Linked DNA regions of Styela clava. The protein of the gene in region 1 purifies or fractionates together with the protein of each later gene. This does not show direct contact. Links are inferred from orthologs where the notes say so. Each region holds a gene or a part of one and is shown on either strand. Other genes may lie near its edges.

Evidence for each region. The genes of interacting proteins can lie anywhere in the genome.
Region 2: the proteins of MRG/MORF4L-binding protein-like (region 1) and vacuolar protein sorting-associated protein 72 homolog purify together in Homo sapiens (co-immunoprecipitation; 5 studies listed by BioGRID and IntAct, counting the BioPlex papers as one, with this or other methods). This does not show direct contact. The link is inferred for Styela clava from reciprocal best matches to the Homo sapiens genes MRGBP and VPS72.
Region 3: the proteins of MRG/MORF4L-binding protein-like (region 1) and inhibitor of growth protein 3-like purify together in Homo sapiens (co-immunoprecipitation; 4 studies listed by BioGRID and IntAct, counting the BioPlex papers as one, with this or other methods). This does not show direct contact. The link is inferred for Styela clava from reciprocal best matches to the Homo sapiens genes MRGBP and ING3.

The regions. Positions count from the first base shown.
Region 1 is NC_135261.1:10,775,904-10,782,719, forward strand, and holds MRG/MORF4L-binding protein-like, read right to left. Parts: upstream 2,386-6,816; 5' UTR 2,316-2,385; coding exon 1,815-2,315; 3' UTR 569-1,814; downstream 1-568. Other genes in the region: very-long-chain (3R)-3-hydroxyacyl-CoA dehydratase-like, read right to left, coding at 1-534.
Region 2 is NC_135254.1:7,385,254-7,392,897, reverse strand, and holds vacuolar protein sorting-associated protein 72 homolog, read right to left. Parts: upstream 2,657-7,644; 5' UTR 2,606-2,656; coding exon 1,658-2,605; 3' UTR 561-1,657; downstream 1-560. Other genes in the region: dimethyladenosine transferase 1, mitochondrial-like, read right to left, coding at 1-103; kelch-like protein 12, read right to left, coding at 3,988-5,695, 6,318-6,325. UniProt on the Homo sapiens protein: Deposition-and-exchange histone chaperone specific for H2AZ1, specifically chaperones H2AZ1 and deposits it into nucleosomes.
Region 3 is NC_135257.1:15,701,902-15,708,877, forward strand, and holds the start of inhibitor of growth protein 3-like, read left to right. Parts: upstream 1-3,916; 5' UTR 3,917-4,493; coding exon 4,494-4,586; intron 4,587-4,967; coding exon 4,968-5,117; intron 5,118-5,287; coding exon 5,288-5,458; intron 5,459-5,665; coding exon 5,666-5,903; intron 5,904-6,395; coding exon 6,396-6,976. UniProt on the Homo sapiens protein: Component of the NuA4 histone acetyltransferase (HAT) complex which is involved in transcriptional activation of select genes principally by acetylation of nucleosomal histones H4 and H2A.

The sequences.
Region 1 (6,816 bases):
AATATTGACAGTGAGAAAGAAAAATATATAACAGTGAGCTAGAAACTGTATGACGTTATAAAGAACGAGATATCCTCTCCTTAGCATATCTACTGTTTCCTCGTATTTCTTCTTTTCATTCTTCAATTCTCTCAGGAAAGACGATTCCTGTTCCTTTCTTTTTTCATCTTCCTCATCAGACTCGGACCTCCACTTGTCAAAATCCAGTTTCAAGAAATGGGGACTCTTTTTTTGCGAAGTTAATTGAGGCCACCATTCACCCATTCCTTCTTTTGTTAAGAAAACTTCAACAGATGATCCAGTGACTTTATGAATACAACTTTCTTCATCAATTGGTTTATAGAATTCTAATGAAAACTTGTACTGATTTTCACCGTTTGCTCCAACGCCTTTGGCCTCGAATGTCATGGATTTAGTCTTCAGTACAATATTAGGATGATGACATTGTTGCAACTCTATCTTTAAGCTCAGCATATCCTTGCGTTGTGCCCATCTTACAGTGGGTAACAAGGTTGCATATTCTCCATCACCCATTATGCAAAATGCCTATTTATTAAAATGCATAAAGCTATGGAAAAAGGAGGAAAAATTTACTGGTATGATAAAGTCAAAACTACTATTATGACATTCGGTCACCTAAAATAACAATAATTTTTAACAAATTATAGTATATCAGTGAATAATACCTTCACAAATTCATCTTGCCTCGCCAATTCTGTTATTTGATAATTAAATCGAAAATTGATTTTTATCTATCAAGTAAGCCAAAACCAAAAAAATTCACATTTTGATAATTGGCTAACAAAATTTCTGATGAAATATATATATATCTAGAGTGTTAAGCAAACTTAACCAACAATGAGCTCAATTCCACTATACAAAGCGTTCATAATGAAATACTTGATACAACATCCAGAATAATATAGGCCCATAGTTTAAAGTGATATCATTGTAAGAATACAATCGCAATTCTTGTCAATTATTAATAACTGAACAAAGCTAAATGATATTACACAGGAGATATATGCTCGGACCACTTTGGCTAAGACTCGCTCTTAACTTTAATAACTCCAAGTGGCAGAAACAAGGGTGAGCAAGTCTCTCAACAGTATCAGTAGTTTATTTTTACACATGCCGAAAATACACATTGTACATACAGAACAAAGCATTAGTGAACAATGCTTAAGTGATATCTCTTTGATTAATCCAAGTCGTCTCGTTTTTGTATTTACAATGATTATAAAAATCTATATATCATCATGGCAATGTTTACATAGCGAATAACAATTCTGAGTTTATATTTTGTATTGCTAAATGATGCACATATACCCCTCGCTAAAAACTTATGATTGGAATGCCATAAAAATAGAAAAAAATACATATTGGTCTTTGTAAATTCGTGATTATCTCAAGAGTGATCAGTAATTAGATTATTATATGTTGATAATGTAGTCATAGTCATAGCAACATGAATGGTTCAAAGTTTAATTTGGAGCCAAAATAGGCATTGGAACATCTTGTTGGTAAAGAAGTTTTTAGCTTGACTTAGGATTTTCATAAAAAATTAATCATAGAAAACAGCAAAACTATTTTTGAGCAGAAATTACACAAAAAATGAACATATTTGCTTTTAAATTATCTATTAGAAAAAAGTTCCGCTTCGTCACAAATTGTTTTAATCTTGATTCACATCCTACTGTCCGGGCCAACTTTTGATTCTTGCATCGCATTTAATCCTTTCAAACATTTCACTTTTTTCCGAATAATTGACATATGTCTGAATGTAACATCATTCTCGTGAAAATGGGATTAAATCACCGCCTCCGCTTACTTGATCCGGGACCGGAAGCTCCGACAGCAGGACTTACCGATGTAACATTTCTAGTTCGTTTTCTATTGCTTTTTGCACTTGGAGGTGTGCTTTTGCTTTGCAGCTGTAAATCTTTATTTGAGGATGACTTTGCTGTTGATGGCGTTTTTACTGCAGCCTCATGCTGCTCTTTTTTTGTTTTATCTTTGCCAAAATTTAAAATGTCTTCAGGTAGTTGAAAATGCTTTACATTGTTATTAAAAGGCAAAGCGTCTGATTCATCCAATACTGCAAGATTATACATTGTTGATAAATGTTCCCATATTTGAGCACTCGTTACAGGTTGTCCCAAAGATTGAGCAAATTTACTGTGAATTCCCATCATATGAAAATGTTTATTAATTCCGACAGGTTTATGTCCTCGCATGGCATAAAATAGACAAACTTCAGTATCCGCATTCCAAAGTATGGGTGATACTGATGGTCGCTCAATTATTTCACCCATTTTTCTACAGAACTGTATAATACTGTAATATAAGTCTGATTAAAAATAAATAAAAAACTTAAATATGTAGGCCTATTTACTTTGCGACCTTTCAAAAGACTACTGGATTTGGAACCTTCAGATAAAGACGAATAAATTTTCCCAACCATCAGAACATACAGATCTCAATCTCAAATCCCTGTACAGCTGTACCGAACGGTATGCTTTCTGGATTAATACCGGTACCTGTAACCGTGTGAAAAAAAATCTGAGATATACCGGTAGTCTAGTACCGGCGGTACCGGTACCGGTAGTACATTAGCGGTACGGTACCGTATGTGTGCATGTTTATTTGCCTCAAAAATGTAACAATATCTAATACAGACATACCGTAATAATTAAACGGTACCGCCGGTATAACAGAGACAGGATACCGTACAGTAGTCAAGTAGTATGGCTGTATGGTACGGTACCGTAAATTGATGCAAAAACAGAAAAAAAGATACTAGATTAAATGATACCGTACTCCCAATACAATGTCTAATCATTAGTCAAATGATATTCGACTGATCCCCTGAGGCGCAGTTCTTACCACTTCATGGCAGCTCCTGCCACGAACTAACCGCGGCAGCTATTGCCATGGTTTTATAGCGCTATTCAGTAATCAGTATTTACGGTATATTCACAAATTAATGTACCAGATTTTAACGGTACCCAATATTTGTCACCATAAGCGACATCCCTGTCTCTACGGCCCACCTGCCGTGTTTACGGCAGCAAAATTTTACAAACCATTGGTTTTCAATTTGCTGCCGCGGTAACGGCATCTCGTCCTTGGTTTGTGGCAGCTAAAAAGTCAGTCGCCATCATTGAGGTGTTCATTGGGACCAATTTGGACGCCATAGGTTTGGCTGTGGTATGGAAATACCGCCATGGTTTTGCGGCAGCTGCAGACGCCACAGAATACTTAAAACTGCACTTGGATACCCTGATGTGTGGTTGTAGAATTTATCAAATCTGTAAAATCCTGAATCAGCGCCTAACTCGACCATCCGTATAATTTGGAGGTGTTTATCACGACACTGTGACGTCTAGTGACGTAATATTTTGGAGACGTAGTCAGGTGGGGGCAATGACATTAAACAAGATGATAGGCAACTCTGACGTCACTCCATAAGACTACAGGCGGAAGATTGTATTTCATGATACGCTCCAATGCACATATTTCTCGTCGCCTTTCGCGTCCGTTTTCCGCTCGCTTTTGCTACTCGGTGTCTTTTTTACGTGTAGTACCTGCCTTTTTGCGCCTGTAACAAAACAAAATAATCTCTATATCTAAGAACTTTTGCTCACTTGGAAAGTTGGAATCAAATCAGAAAGTTTTTTTTTATCAGAGAATATTACAGACGCGATAGCGGAAAGATTTGTGTGGAACATTTTGCAGATAATGACAAAGTTCAAAGTTAGTAATTTTAATGTTTGCGCTTAATCATTGAAATTTCATTTAAAGAGGGGTGTCATACAAAACTGTGCTGTGATACAATTCCATACAATTCCAAGTTTGCACCTATCGAACTTGCTTTTGTAGGTGAATTGATTAGACATATTACATATTCAGTTAATCGTAGGTAACATTGCTGGTACATAATGCATCGTAGATAGGTTTGTTTAAATTCAGGAATTTAGCTCATAGCCCACTAATTAATATTATCTTCTATGCGGGAGGTTGCAGGGCTGAATTCAACTTGCAGCCTTACCGACCACCTGACGATGCTCATTTAGTTTGGCTCGAGCAAGTCTTCTTGAAATGCTTGTGTGGATGGAAACTACCTATATTTTTTGCCTTCCTCCGATTTTAGACAAATTTATTCTGAGGGATTTCGCATATAATTCTCATTGATTGTTGGCTGTTTATAATTCCTATTGATTGTGAATTCTGATTATAACAAAGAGTTAAAAAATTTTTATCTAATTTACTGGCACCTTTTTCTTGTCAATACTCCAAGCTGAGGTAATAAACAAGACAATACATTTATGTCATCTGGAAGCAAAATATGCACACTAATTAATAGTTTGGCACATTGAGATAATACATCATGACATAAAATACAAGTTAAAGATATGTATGACCATCACATGGTAATTAAAATTAAAAAAAATTAATAGGGGCTGTGGAGTATGAAAAGTTCAAGACAAAGAAAAGAACAAATGTTCATAGCTCATGAACTCTCAATTTTGCCTCCATTGCTTTGTGAAGGCCAATATATTTCGAGTGGCTGAATTGGTTTACCTTTATGATAGCAACGATTTTGTATTCAATATAGCGAGATTATTTCAAAATAATTGAAGTGATATTATTTCCCAAAGCAATTCTTGAATCGTCTGGAATAGATCAGTGGTCTCAAACTTATGGGTTTTCGAGAGCCGCATTGCATTTCGGAAATTGTAAAAAGAGCCGCAAACAGTTTTTGATAATGTATACTTAAAAGATATTTTTAAGATAGTTTTAGTTTGTGACATATATTGTGATGCAACTAAACAGTTGGATTAAGTTTTAAAATTTTCTTCAATTTCAAATGCAATTACATATTAATATTTGCATTCCACTATTATTGCAACATTTGCAAGTTACTGTATTTATTATAAAAAATTATAAAATTCTATGTACAACCATCAAAATCATTTTTGAACAAGCTTTGAATAAGGAAAGAATAATACATACACTAAAAATAACTTAATCTAAATATATGAACCTAAAATTAACAAAAATACTACAGTATAAACTCAATGTTTTAATAATTACATTTGTCCTGACGTTTGGCATCTTTTTTGTGTCACCAGCATACTAAGGCCAGGCTGTAATGATTTTATAGTACCGACTCTAACTAACGAGGCCACATGATCATGGGTTAATCTGGATCTTTGCGAATGTTTAATTAACTCCAGTAATACAAAAAAGTTACTTTTATCATTTCATGTATAGATCAGTAAAAAAAACAAATGACAGATTTTTTTGAGAAGACATTTCGCACCACATTGCGTGGTATAGGATCGCTTGAATTATTATTGATATTGATTTTTAGTAACTAAGTCGTTGTATAATTATATTAATATACAAACACATGGAAATTTTCTGTCCGAAGTTGGTCTTCGAATTTGTCATATTGACTGCTGAGCTTATTGTGTTTTTTCATTGTATTGATGGAAATATGACAAATTAAACAATGTGCTTCAGAATTTTGTGAAAAGCAGAAATGTTACAACTCCCATTTTCTTCGAAAATGCCACCTCCTTCATGTACTTTGCGTTTAATTTAATCACTCAAGTGTTTTATTCAAGTATTCTTTTGCAAGCTTGATGTGTATTCTTAATTGGGTCAAAATGTGGACAAAAAAAATTATTATTCCAAAACTTCTTTCAGTAAATTGTATTCTGTGTGAATAATCAATTTCACTTTAAAAGGTTTGAAAAATCTATTACATTTAGACAAAAAAAAACTTCCAAAATACTATTACAATTATTGTTAAGCGTTCGAGGGCCGCACTGGAAGTTCTCTGGGGCCGCGAGTTTGAGATCCCTGGTCTAGATTGAAGTTGTGCAAAAAATATATGATAGTATTTTATCATGAATGATGATTATACCCCTTCCGGAATTTCTTCTATAGTACTACCAAAAGTTGATGAACCAAATATAACACAGGTGCAGTGAGTTACCCGTAATCCTCATTTTCCAAAGCTGTTTTAAGTATGTCTGGCGTGTTTTGTGCCTTTTTACAAATAAGACCGAGTATGCAATTTTACGCTTTTGAATTTTTAGTTATTTTCCTCAAGCCCTGCAGGATGTGGGGGCCATACACAACTCTACCGGAGGGTCAAATGTCTTTGCATGTCTCCATAGGTTGTTTTTCTATTGCAGAGTACTCTAATTATATTTCTTGGAATCACACTGTCACTGATATGTCGCCAGACTTCTGATATCTCCCCTTCTGCTACAGTTGTCCTGTGAATAAAAAGGTGCTGCAGGAGTCTCACAATGCTTAGACAGGTTTGTCCACAACTTTCACATCTGAAGAAACAGAGGAGATTTATTAATTTTCGTTAAGAATAAATAAAGCAGTCTATATGATTTAGAATGGAAAAGCTAATAAATCCAATATCTCATGTTTTATGTAAAAAATATTTTACTGAATTTGGTATATAATTCCGGCAAATGGGCAACTACGTACCGTACTGAATTAATAACTTCGTAGTATTTGACAAAGGCTGGCTTTCCCACATGTACTTAACAGTGCGATGACCGGGTGTGATATACAATAATAGTATTTACCTTACCTTTTTCCGATTTTTTTTACCTTAACTTTCCAAAATATCATTAAAATCGACAACAACTGTCAAAGCAGGCACGAACACCATTCGTGCTACGCCTTGAAAGCAGCACACATCCGCTCGTTTTCGTCTCGTCAAGTATGTGCATTGGAGCGTGCTATCGAATACGATCTTCGGACAAAAATGCCGGAGTTGCG
Region 2 (7,644 bases), on another chromosome or scaffold:
CGAATAAAAAATTTTGCGCCAACTGTTTCTTTGCTCGGACATTATAAATTTTAAGAATGCTTGCAATGGATGGCAGAGGCGGTAACCTTAACTTTGGTGGCATATTCAATCTAGAAAAGAAAATAATTGATATAAATGGAAATAATGAAGAAAAACTTTTCTTTCAGAGTAACAGACCAGATATTACTGATATCTAGTAAACGGTGACCGGACATTTGAACCCATGCGTATATCCGCGGGTTCAATCTATATGCGGTTGCTAAAACCCATGGGTTAGGGTGAGTATGGGTTCAATTATCGGTAAAACAAAAAAATTTCCATATGTGCAATAGTATGCAGGTGCAATTGTCATGGGTTCAAATGTCCGTGGGTTCAAATGTAATGGAACCCTAGTAAACATTACCAAAATCTTATACATGAAAAATTGGAAAAATTTTGCAGCACAAACAAAGAGATACACTCCGAATAATTTTAATAGGTTTAACAGTCACATATTAGAAAATTTAAGTGAGGGCTCGGCAGTGTGGCGCATCGTGCTATGCGATAGGAATATGCTCGCCACTGCACCTCCGATTACCTTTTGTGTGTTCGCAGGTTCGAATCCCATTGGAGATAATTATGTGTGAGAGGATTGGTAGACTCCTCGCCGCCATAGGCTGGTTCACATAACTGCTAGTCGGTTAAGGCTTCCTTCAGCATCAAGTCCATGCATCTGAAACAAATAACTGGTTAATTAATCCCATACCCGACATGGATATGTAACCGGACGACAAACTGTGGTTTATGTGATTAAGTCGTCTTAGCAGCTTTCCTCTCCCTTGGGATAAATATGTAAATCCTACCGTACCCTAAATGACAAAACAGACCAGGGTACAAACATAAAGATAATCAAGATCTCAGGCGATTGGAAATTTTTTCACAAATAAACAGAACTGCACTATAGCTTAGGCTTGGAAAAATGTAGAATAAAAATTAAGGCAGTGTATACTCAATTTTACAAAATTTGAAAGAGTTCAACTTCAGGTGAACATGACAGCGTATAGATTTTAAAATGACTCATCAAAAAAATTTACATGATTAAGTCGCATGTTGCTTTTAATGTGAATAATCCAAACCATTATACAGTGTTAATTATTTTTTGATGGGCAGCAAGGTCATAACATCTGAGCATTTTACTACGGTAAATTAGTAACCTTGCCACAGAAGAATGTTCCTGGAAATGCTTTTTGAATCGGAAAAGTTGGCTTATGCATCAGGAAGCTATCAGTCTAAGCCAGGGTGGTCCAAAGTTGTCCGCTTTGGGAACAACAATATTAATTTTGCATTGTTCAGGGGCCACAATAGTGCCAAGAATATGCAAACAGTGCAATAAAAAACAAACACTTTTATTGTGCAAACACATCGATCATTATTTGTCATTTATCAAGCTAAAACATGCAAAGACCATCAAAAAACTTTCTAAAATGTGCAAATCGTCATAACTCTTAGTCAATTCAGTGACATTAGTGATGCAACAATATGTCGAAAGATTTTTCTGGTTATTTTTATGACTAGACAAATGCGATTTTTGATTAATAATCTCCAGCAAATGTGACACGGGCCACAGATAATGAGGCTGCCAGATGTAACCATCAGGTGTAACCAGAAATTTATAGAATCATTTTACCTTATCACGTTTTGCCAGTGATAAAGTATGTGCTTCACGAATAAGTTTAAAAGCATCCATGTCATAATAAGGAATATTAGTAAGTGGGTCTATATATCTGGCAGGCTTATTTGTAACTGGACATATAGGTTTATTGATTCGAGGCTGTTTTTTCCAGTGGAATTCATTTTTAAAAACTTCAGGTTCAGAGAAAATTATAAAATCTCTCGAAATTTTTGATGGCTCATCCGGGTCCACTGATGGCATTGTTGTCGATAAGTATTTGATTGTTGGTTCTGCAAATGTTCGCTTTTTTGTGCTAGATTTTTTTCGATTTGCTTCGAGACGTTGATAGTTGTGCAGCGATTTCAAGTTTTTACGTTCCGTTCTTTCCGCCTCTTGCATTAATTCTTCCTGGGTCAAACGTCTCACTCCAGCCATTGGTTTTTTCACAGTTTCTTTTTTCTTTTGGTCTGCGATTTTACGTTCTTTTACTTTCATGCTTATTAAATAGGAATTTGCTGCCGTGGCGCGACGAGATGATTTACGACTTGGCCCGTCATTGTTTACGGCAGTTGGTTCAGTTTTTTTCGCCTCTTTCGGAACTTTTTCTTCCTTGTTATCATCACTTTTACTAATTTCTTTTTCATCTTTTTTTGCTTTTTTAATTGAGGGATCTTTATAAGCTTTTGTGTTCGCTCCTCTTTTTCGTTTTTTCTCAGATTGTTTTATAGTTTCTTCATCTTGATCGCTGACAATTTCATCGTTTTCCGAGATATCGAAATCTGAGTCGACTTCGTCTGCGGAATCTTCTTGGTCCGACTCAAAATCATTATCTTCTTTTTCCTCTTCAAAACCTCCGTACGTAGTCTTATAAAAGTCATCCTCGTCTAGTTCCTCTTCCATGACCTTTGACATCCGATTTCCTGCAGTACAACGTGGCTCTCTTGCAGCAGCCATGATGATTTATAGCAGAAAAAATTTCACTAAATTTATAAATTCGATTTTGAGTCTGAAAATACAAAAAAATGCAGGAATATATGTTATATCTACAGTGGAAATAATATGAAAGTGTTTTATTTCTCTATGAAAAAGATGCCAACTCATGGAACAGTGGTAATGTAATTGTAGAACACAATATCTCAGTGGTTAGCATACATACGATATGTTACAGTTTGCACCAAATGAGCAGTAATGTTACCCAAGATTAATAACATGAGGAAGTAATTCTGGGCGGTAAGATTTTTGCCCAAATTTTTTGTTTTTTTGTACTTTTATTTGAATTATCAGTGGTACATTCGCTATAATCCTGGCCTCCCCTGTGTAAGGGGCAAAAACGGTATTTATAAAATACCTACAAATAAGATTTTAACATAAATAAAAAATTGAATTGAACATTCAAAAGTATAATACGCCAATATAAAGAAAAAGTAGCCACATACACATCATCAACAATATTTTTCAGAAAAGCACACTGTCAAAAAGGAATAAAGTAACAGCTTTCAAAACGCAAATCATGTTATTATGGTCATTCAGCTCAGGAAAGAATATACCAGCGAATAAAATGAGGGATTTAAGATGGTAGAAATAAAAATTTTACAAAAATAGAATTAAGCAGTTGGTGGAAATGATATACACAGTGGGAAATGAACTAATGCCATTGATGGTAATTTTGGTTTAGACAAAATTTAAATTCTATTATTCACAAGTCTAAGAATACAGTGTTCATAATAATATGTTATAAAATAATAATGATATAAATTATATTTTCATGTTAATAATGAGAGCTCGACCAATATATCGGTCTACTGATATATCGGGCCGATATAAATTATATAAATTAATTCCGATCGGCAGTAAACCAACGATATATATCGGCCAAAGTCAGTAAGCGCCGGGGTGCGTGCTTCAACGGCTCTCGCCTCTGCATAACTGCCGGTTTCCCAATATTTCTATCGCTTTCATTTTGCGTTAAAAAGGTGTCTCTCTTAATTCCCTACAATACCAGTACAAACATAACAAGCTTCTACTTCACAGTGCTGGTTTCAAATGATCCATTACATCAATATCGATGAATATTAATTCCCAATACAAATTTTATACACTTATAAGTAATACAATAATCGCATAAAATTGCTGAACTTGTGTGTCAATACAATTGAAACAATGCAATCAAACCGAGTTCAGAAGCTAAAACTGATTTGTGAGACTGCGAGCACAGTTTTTTGTCTTCCAGCTGGAAGGCGACCTGATAGCAAATAAATGAGATCTAAAAGACAACAGTTGTGTGTTGACAGAAAACTTTTCTAGGTAGGGAAGTAGATCAACAAATTCAACCTTTGCTAAGGGAGAAGAATATACAGTGGAACGGAAGCATTGGCTTGAATGAATTTTCCACTCATTTTATCTACAACATTCCAGTTATTACTCTCAGGATCCAGTTCTTCAATTGTATTGTTAGAAAGCTCCCCTCCAACAACAAATAGCTTATCTCCCACAACACATGAAGTAAACTTTGCCCTTGCATTGTTTAAACTAGCAACAGTGGTCCACGTTTCTGCAACTATATCGAAACACTCTACAATATTCAAATGGAAGCTTTGAGTCCCACCCATTACATAAATTTTTTCCTCGAGTCCGGCTGCAGAAGAAAATTTTCGTGCAGTTGGCATTGACGGAAGTTCTCTCCATGTTAAATCTAATGGATTAAATCTCAAGTTATTCGACATATGTCCAGTATTGTTCACCCCTCCTATGCAGTAGATGAAACTTTCAAGAGAAACAATAGATGATCCAAATCCTTCCACTGGCTTATGCGTGACATCAGACCAAGTTCCATCATATGGGTCATATTTCTCAACAGCATTACTATACCAACCATGATCAGCAAATGCGTAAATATAGTTGCCAAAGGCAACACCGATCGCACGTTTCTTAGCTGATTTTCGATCGTCCAGTCGAACCCATGTAGCATTGATGTCGATGTAATCCAACTTATAATTGTTCCCGTAATTTCCAAAAACATATATAATGTCATTAAGCACTGCTGCAGTGAAGTATTTAGCAACAAATTCCTTATCGATCTTCTGCATTTCTGTCCAGGTTTTCAGAAATGGATTGAAAACATGGATGGAACATGTTGTTTTACTAAACACTGCAATTACATTTTCATTAGTCACAAATTTTGAGGTGGCTATGTCAACATCCTCTGGCTCTACATTTGTTAAATCATTGGCTTGAGTTAGAGCACTCGTACATAAATCTGAGTTGAAAACTGAAGGCTCTTTTTGAATAAGATATGACCGATATTTCGAAGCAATTTTAGTCAAATTCAATTTTTCAAAAAGTGCTTCAAAAGTAGAAGTTCGAGTTCCTCTCTCAAAATTTGTCCAAATAATCAGAGCCTTGCATTTTATGTCTTCGGAAGCTTTTGTATTCCGTGATCCAATCAACAAAGAAACAAATTCCTTCTCTAAATGTTTAAAATCATCCTTCATAGCTAAATGTTGAAAATTTTTTAAAGCAAACTTTTCACAACATTCAAGTAATTTTGTACAATTGAACATATCTGCAATTATCTTTGCTGAATAAAACGACTCTATATTTATTTTCTTTCGAAGATATGTCGCAACATTCTCGCAAACTTTTTGTAGCTGCATAATATGAGCAGTATGCATTAGTTGTTTGCAATTTTTAGAGTCAGGAATGCTAACATGTCCAGTGTAAATGAAATCAATGCAAATCCTAACGCTTGAAAATTCAGTTTGTTTCATTTGAATGACGCCAGATCGACTTTCAACATTTTCATGAAACAGCATTGCTCTGAAATAGTCTGACCCTGTGGACAAAATATTTCTGTGTGCTAAGATTTCTTCATTACCAACCTTTATTGCAATGTCACAATATTCTTTATTTTTTCTCATTTCGTTAAGCTTCTTCATTATTTCTGCACAATGATCTTTATCATATCCGTCAGCAGTTAGTTCCATTTTTGTGATTGTGAAAACTAAACCAGAACCCAACAAGACTTTGACAGTTATGGCCACTCTTCTAAAACAGTAAAACAAGCATAAAATAGCCTACTAAGATGGTCATACAGAAGGTTAATTACAGAACAGCGCTGAAGTTCGGCTACCCACTGATACAATGTTACAGGTACTATATGCCGATAAAAAAGCAATAGTAGGGTGTCGGTACCGTATGCCTGTATGCCACAGTTTTCGAATATTACATAAATATAAAATGTACGGTACGGTAGCTCAATTCAACAATGCTAGTTGTAGTCTATTTAGACAGTAAAGTAAGGAGACGATATGTCACGGTTTCTCAATATAATATATTCAAATCGCTATTATAGAATTAATCTCAATTCAACAAATGCGGTACCGGTACCTTCGCTTTCTGTTGTAAAACTTTTAGCGAGTCACTATCAACGAACGCGGGATTCGTGTACACAAGGTAAAAAGTAAAGACGCGTCCTTCAATTTCCCAAATCAGATGAATGCGCCACTTACAACTAAGGAAATTCCGCGCCGTTAATCGTTTTCATAACAACATTCAAATATTAAATAAAACAAATAAATAATTATGATATTCATCAGTAATAACTTAAACCCATGTGCAATTACATTTCGAATTTTATAAATGCGAATCACAGAAACACGTTGCTTACCTGCTCATCCATGACCTGACCGAGCACTTTTCATTGGTTTTCAAGGGGCTCACTTTGCCGGACTCGTCAAGTTATGTTTAAAAATATACGCATTCTTTATGCCACGTCACACCCATAAGTTAAACTAGGGTGGTCCAAGGTTGTCGGCTCCGGGACAATAAAATTATTTTTTCATCGTTCGCGGGCCACAATAGTGCCAAGATTAGATAAACGGGGCAATACAAAACCCTTTTATTGTACAGACACTCATCAGTATTGGTCATTTATCAAGCTATAACATGCAAAAACCACCAAAAAACACACTAAACTCATCAACCCCAAATGCAATTTTTTGATTACTCTGCGAATGCGACGCGGGCCACATGAAGCTGGGTAATAACGGGCCTGGGTTTGGAGCACCCTGAGTTAAACTAGCGATGATTAAACCCCAAATGATGAACAAATATACTCTGAAAGTGTATAACTCGGGACATGTAAACATTCGCAATTATACAGGCGAACAGTGAGACTTGATGTACGGTATCATTTTACAGTTTTATTTACAAGGTTGCTCAAAGCAAAGTCGTTGGCCTCCAACCAAAAGTATAATGGGTTTATCCGTAAATATATGGTTTATCGAATTCGGCACCCTTTCAATCTAGGCTAGTTGCTAAGTCTTGCTATATTCACTGAAGGTAGCATACCGTATATCCTAAGCAAAACCACCGTCAAAATATGCTTTCGTGGCCCTAATTACCGGTTTTGGGCCAAAGTGGGATCACCATTTCTTATTAGGTACCGGGTATACCGGTACCGGAACATATAAAATCATAGGCATCCATCCTACCACTTTCTACAGAATCTTAGTATTTATTTGAGCATCTGTAATGAATTAATGATTGTTCAGTGACCATTTTCTGTCCTCACCCATCCCGCTGTACTCATTAGTCGGTGACTTCATTCAGTGCAACACATATTTATAACACATTCCCAAGTACCAAAAAAAACAGTATGTACATGAAATGTGTTTATTATACCTGAATTTTATTTGTATTTCTTGCCAGATTGGAAAATGGCCACTCGTCAAACTAGACCAGTCTCTCTGACACCTCGTAACTCGAAACAGTATTACAGGTCTCCAATGGTGGAGGTTTCATCAATGCACAGGAAGATTTACAATACTGATGAGCGGCATATCTTCAAGGTTGAATTGAAAAATAATTTGAATTGTGAAAATGGCATCAAGGATCTTCCAGTATTTTGGGTAGGAATTTATTAATAACAATGTTTGATTTCATAATACCATAAGGAAAAAGGGAAGTTCATCATCTAATGTCAATTACAGATG
Region 3 (6,976 bases), on another chromosome or scaffold:
GCATGTTTCTTGTTTGTTTTGCGTGTTACGCCACAAAGGATGTAGTGCCACATTATAAAATACACCTTGCGTCTTTTTCCCCAGGCCAAAAAAGGAGCTTTGTCGATGGTACGCGGCCATAATAAAAACAGTAAAGTGGTACGCGTTCAGTAAAAGGTTGAGAACCACTGCCCTAAAAGAACAGATCGACAGTGTTACAGCGCCCCCCAGTGTCCGCAATGCCAAAATACCAAATATGGAAACAATATCACATGACATCATTTAACATAGACTTACCCTAATTTCTTGGGCATAATCCGAGACAAACTCAAAACTATGAATGAAAGGCCGAAGGCTTGAGCTTGGCAATTTTTTTCCATATTTATATTTATAAACTTTAACATTGCATGGTAAAGTATTCTACTTAGATTAAATAAAAAAAATTATTACTATATTTAAAGGAAAATAGATGTTAATTTAAGCAACACCAAGTCACAAATCAGACATGTATAAGAAAAAATGAAAGAATAAACACCGAGAACAAAGAAATAACAGTATCTCACAAATCAAACATTTATACGGGAATGCAATCAGAAACCATTGGCTTTTTTGTTTGACCTTTCGTATTTTTCACTTGAGTGAACTGTATTCAGAAACTGTTTATTATTTCTAATTTTTTGTGTAAAACTCGTTACAGCTCAAGCCAATATTGAGTTTGCAAATCAATAAACCCTCTACTGTTGACTTCTTCATCGTACTCCTTTCATCTGACTAAATAGTTTTCATCATAGAAAAAGCTCTTTCAGCAAAAGCCGACGTGCCTGGTAGACAAAATATATATTCCATTACTTTTCTAAGATTAGCCACACTAAAGTGAAATTCCGGGACATTTTGCTAACCGGGACAGACGTTCAAACCGGGACTGTCCCGGCCAAACCGGGACGTATGGTAGGTCTGATTTAACAGATAAAACAAGGGTCGTCACATATGATATCGAAATCCATTGTGTGGTCTGGAAGTTTGAATCCTTCACTGATCTTTTTATGCATGCGCTACCTGTACCTGGTAGCGCCTCTATGGTGGCCCATCGTTGTCACGCGTAAAATTGAAAATAAAAATAAAAAAACGAAAATAAAAAAATTGTTGTAAAAAAACATAAAAATTATTAAAAAAAAAAATTAAAATTAAAAAAAAATAAATAAATAAAAATGAAATAAAAAACAAAAAAAAAAAATTTAAAAAAAAAAAAAAATTAAAAAAAAAAAAAATTGAATAAAAAGGTTGACAACGATGGTCCGCCTCGTGGCCCATCGTTGTCACGCGTTTTTATTTTTAAAAATTTGCTTCTGCTTGGGACCAACATTGTCAGGCATAATCCTACGCGCACAAATGTGTTCCCTGGGTTTCAAACTCACTACTGATTTTCTTGAGCAATATTCAATATGAAAATGTTCTATAAATTCTCCATGCTACAAGTTCAACAAGAAGTAATATATTTATAATAATGATAAGAGAATATAGAATTGAATACGAAAATTCGGAAAATTTGTTTTTACGTGTATAAGGTAATTTAATTGGAGAATGCTGCTTAACTACTCAGTTGTCTGGACACTCGCGATGCCGGTACCGTCTTACCAAATACCGGTAGTCGGTTATAGTCGCTTTGCGTCTGACCGTACCGGTAGCCATACAATCACTCATGAAAGAATGGGAGATACGGATAGTCTCGTAGAATATAGACTACTGAAACACTCTCTGCGCCTGCCCCATACCGTACAGCCGTAACGTACCGATCCAGACAAATGATAAATCGCCCGTGCTCAACCATTTATTTCAATCCATACCTCGATCCTAGTAGAATATAGTGAGTCGAGGTATGGATTGAAATAAATGATTGAGCACGGGCGATTTATCATTTGTCTGGATCGGTACGTTACGGCTGTACGGTATGGGGCAGGCGCAGAGAGTGTTTCAGTAGACTATATTCTACGAGACTATCCGTATCTCCCATTCTTTCACGAGTGATTGCATGGGTACCGGTACGGTCAGACGGTACCGTACCGGCATCGCACGAGTGTCTGAGCAGTTAAGCAGCATTTTCCAATTAAATTATCTTCTACACGTAAAAACAAATTTTCGTATCCAATTCTATATTCTCTTATCATTATTATAAATATATTGCTTGTGGTTGAACTTGTAGCATGGAGAATTTATAGAACATTTTCATGTTGAATTTATTGGATATTGCTCATGAAAATCAGTAGTGAGTTAGAAACCCAGGAAACACATTTGTGCGTGTAGGATTAAGCCTGACAACGTTGGTCCCAAGCAGCATCAAATTTTCCAAAAATAAAAACGCGTGACAACGATGGGCCACGAGGCGGACCATCGTTGTCAACCTTTTTATTTTCTTTTTATCCAATTTTTATTTTTTTTGTTATTTTTTTTTATTTTTTTTTTAATTTTAATTTTTTTATTAAATTTTTTTTTTTGTTTTATTTTTCAATTTTTTTTTTAATTTCAATTTTTTTTTTTATTTCTTTTTTTTCAATTATTTTTATGTTTTTTCACAACTATTTTTTTATTTTCGCTTTTTCATTTTTTTTTTAAATTTTACACGTGACAACGATGGGCCACCATACGCCTCCACGAGAGACGAATTATTTCGAATTCCGCCTCCTCATGGCGTAGTCTGCGGCAGGGGGGCTGACAACTCGACTGCACAGACCAAAGCCCGTATGTACCTGACACAGACAACTCTTCAGAGACAATTCAGCTACAGAGAGGCCTGGTAGGTTGTCCGTCTTTTCGCATTTTCTACAGCGAGCTTTTAATACCATAGGAGTGTAATTTCGATTTTTTTCAGGGCTCCAGTGGCAAGAAAAACACATTACTGTAGTATTCTCGAGAAGAGCGATTGCTCGACTGGTGGGTGAGTTGTCTGCCTCTCGACATTGTATCTTCGCGTAGCGATTGTTTGGCACGGTACCTAGGCGAGTTGAGACGCAGGATACCGTAGGCTACGAAGATCACATTCGTGAATATCTATGTGTTACTGTCATATATAAAGGTTTAAATATGTTTAAAAATGCACATTGAAAACATCCAATATCAACAAATTTCAAACCCACGCGGCACGCAGTCCTATACCGTCAGCAGTCTAACATCACTAACGTTACAACAGACCCAAGTTTTTTTTGTAGACTATAGATATATTTGTGTAACTTGAACAAGGTATGTCACTCATGCACATAAAAATGCCTTCTCGGGAATACTAATCTGTTTTTCTCACCATTGGAGCCATAAAAAAATCGAAATTACATATCTGTAGTCTTGAAAGGTCGCCTTAGAAAATGCGGAAAGACGGACAACCTACCAGTCCTTTCTGTAGTCGAGTTGTCTTTGGTGAGTTGTCCGTGTAGTCGAGTTGTCCGCCTCCCGTACAGGCTGACCTAGTAGTATATATTTACGGGCTGACGGACATATCAATTAGGGGGGTCTGGTATAGTTTAGTACCACATGCACTTATAGTTGGCCTGGCTCAGCAATTTTTGCATATGCCATTCCTAACCCTAATTACGTCCTACGACGCCACAGTGGCGTAATAAATACCTCCCAAGTGTAAGGACGGTCGTCCAAAACGCACATACAATCACCCGAAATCGAGCAAGCTATTTCTCTCGTTTTCTCTTCGTAACGATCCCGATATGAGAGAGACCGCTGGCGTTAGGGAGTTTGATATCGTCGGCGCAGATGCCATTTCGGACGATGGTACCTGTACTTGGCAAGCTCTATGACGTCGTAGTGACGTAATTTTTGGATGACATACGGTACCGGTAGTTAGGTGGGGGTTAGGAATAACATACCGGTATACTAATATTGTTATGCTACGCCCACCGGAAGTACATGTGGTACTAAACTATACTGGACCCGTTACACAACTTGATGGGTCGCGGCCCATAGCCTGATGGGCCGAGGCCTAATTCCATGCGCCGTGGCCCCGGCCCATGGGCCTTAGAGGAGTCACCACTTCCACTCCACATTCCAGGCCTTACTGTATCAAAATGTTGACCAATACGGTAGCTGAATAGACTAGACAGCTAGAGAATGAAGGTTTCATTTATCACACAAACTTGCCCTTGCCTTGGAGTGTATAGTAATCAAATACGACATCAATATATTTTATTCTGATCTCTCCGGCATAAACAAAACACAACTAACGGTCAAACGAAATGCTGAAATTGTGGTACGTGGAAGGCAAGCATAACTAAGGATAAAAGTGAAAACGTACAACTACCTGCATGACCTGTGACAATATAAAACACAGTCAATATTGCACCACTACAGTGCTACCCTATGCACGGGGTCTCATATAAAATTGTTACGACACGCCCACTAGAAGTTATTCAGGTAAGAAAGTACATGAGACCCCACAAATCAAGAGCGTCAAATGAATTATATTTCAATTGCTCAAACTCTGTCTTACATACAGACATAAGCAGATCTAGACGATAATGTTATACTTAGAAGATTACGTTGAATTAATTGAGCACCTTCCGGTGGATGTGAGAGATAGATTTACTGATATGCGTGAAATGGATTTACAGGTACCGTGACGAAACAGTAATGCATTTCCAATTTTCTTATGTTTATTCTGTCTATTAGTGCCACTCAAAAATGGCCACCGATTCAATAATTAATTTTTTCTATGCTGATATTTCCAGTGAAATATAACTTCTGGATTTTTATAGTAACAAAATGAGTAGTTGAACACTGCAATTTGGTACATTGATAAAGGAAATTTACAATAAAACGTATCGGAATATTATTTTTATTCAATCATATTCTATGGCATTGATCTATGTTTATTTTTCAAGCAGTTCGATTTATTGGCTCATGCATATTGTCGAAATAAAACTATCCAGGCAGCCATATCCGTATTACAAAGTTGAGAGTGATCTTGACGGCTATTTTTTCTAATTCTTCAGGTTCAAAATACTGTAGATGATTTGAATGGAAGAGTTAAGTCATTATTTCGTGCATGCCTTGCGAAGAAAGGAAAGATTGATAATGCCGATGAAACCTTCGATGACATTCGAGCAACTTATCGCAAGGCATTGGATGACGCTGATGAGAAAGTAAATAACATCGAAACATAGTTATATTTTAATCTGTTTTCAATTTTGCATTTGGAAGTTGAGTATTCTACAATCAGAGATTATTTTATCATTAAACTTTCACAAATTAAATTATATTTACTGTTTTCACAAATGGGTTTCATTTTTTGTTTAATATAACATAAATTTAGGTACAATTGGCAAATCAAATATATGATTTGGTGGACCGACATCTTCGCAAACTAGATCAGGAACTTGCAAAATTTAAGATGGAATTAGAAGCAGACAATGGAGGGATTACTGAAATTCTGGAAAGAAGATCATTGGAGCTGGATAACCATGTATCTCAAACTGGCCACTCGGTAAATTGCTACTTTCATTTCCTGTTGTCTCTGAATATAACTTTGCGAATGAAATTTGAGAATAATAAATTGATAGATTCTTTGAACAGATGAACAAAATAAATTGATTGTCCAACTTTTATCTTGTAACATATTAATATTTTACTGAAAGTTTATATATATAAGTATATGGCATTAGGTATAATTTATTTTAAAAAACATTTGCAGAGTAGAAAACGGCTTGCACATGCCACCACAGTAGCTTCAAGTTCTGCTGCCATTTTGCCTGGAACATCAAATGGACCTGTGGATAAAAAATCGAGATTAGATGGTGCTTTTGATTTGTTGTATTCTCATTCCGAATCGGCACCACCTTCGGTATTATCACCAGATTTCTCAACAATAACTTCAGGGAATGATGTAGAAAGAAGTAACAGTCGGCCTCCATCAAGAAATTCTACTACGGGTTAGTTATATGGCTATTTTATTTTTGAATACGCAATTAATTTACAGTCCATGTCAATCATAGCTAGTGTTAAAATTTGTCAAGTTGCTGATTTCTGTAGCAAAAAGAAGAAATGGGGTCATGAAATGCATTTTGTGAATACCTAAAAAAGCAAGAGAACAGTGCTCGTATATATGGACATGAGTGTGAAATGACTAACATGGCTATAGCATTGTCCGCAAAATCAGGCCAAATGGTAAAAGAATTGCACTGTATTTCATATGAAGATGTGCCCATGATATATGAAACCAGCAGAATTTGGAGTGAAATATTGGACTCCAAAGATTGTGCGAAATTATAATAGCCTTTCATCTACTTCCAACTTGAAGATATGTTCTCACAACAACTGCTCTGTGTCTGAAATTTAGTAATCAGTGTTGCATATGTGTTAGTTTGACATTGTTATGAGACTAGTTTGCTGTATACATCATATGAACTAAAATCTATTTTCAGGTACCGGTCAATCTATCATTAGTGCTCTCCAGACTCCAGTTGCTACAGAGGGACAGTCAGTAAGGCATCCAGGAGGTTTGAAAACAAATAACATTGGAATTAAACTGTCAGAAACTACTATCAAACAGGAGGATTTCCAACAAGGATTACCCCCAGATTTTGTTGATTGTAAATTGCCTCTTAGTGAGGACATGATGGATGAAGACTCTTGCCATTCCACTCAGGATGGTCTATTAATGTCACCCACAGGTTCAAGACCATCTAGAACGAAAAAACAAACTTCACGTGCAGCTGCTTGGACTCAAGAGCGCATGCAGGCTGAGGCTAGGCGTGGTCATGCGCGAGAAAAAGATCATATTTCACCAAACAGCTCTATGGTTGAACTCGTCGGAGAAAGCAGTAATGCTTCTTCTGATTGGACACTCGATCCTAATGAGCCGCGGTATTGCATCTGTAACCAAGTGTCGTATGGTGAAATGGTTGGGTGTGATAATAGTAAATGCACAGTGGAATGGTTCCATTATGGCTGTGTTAATCTCACTGAAGCACCAAAAGGAAAGTGGTATTGTCCACAGTGCACT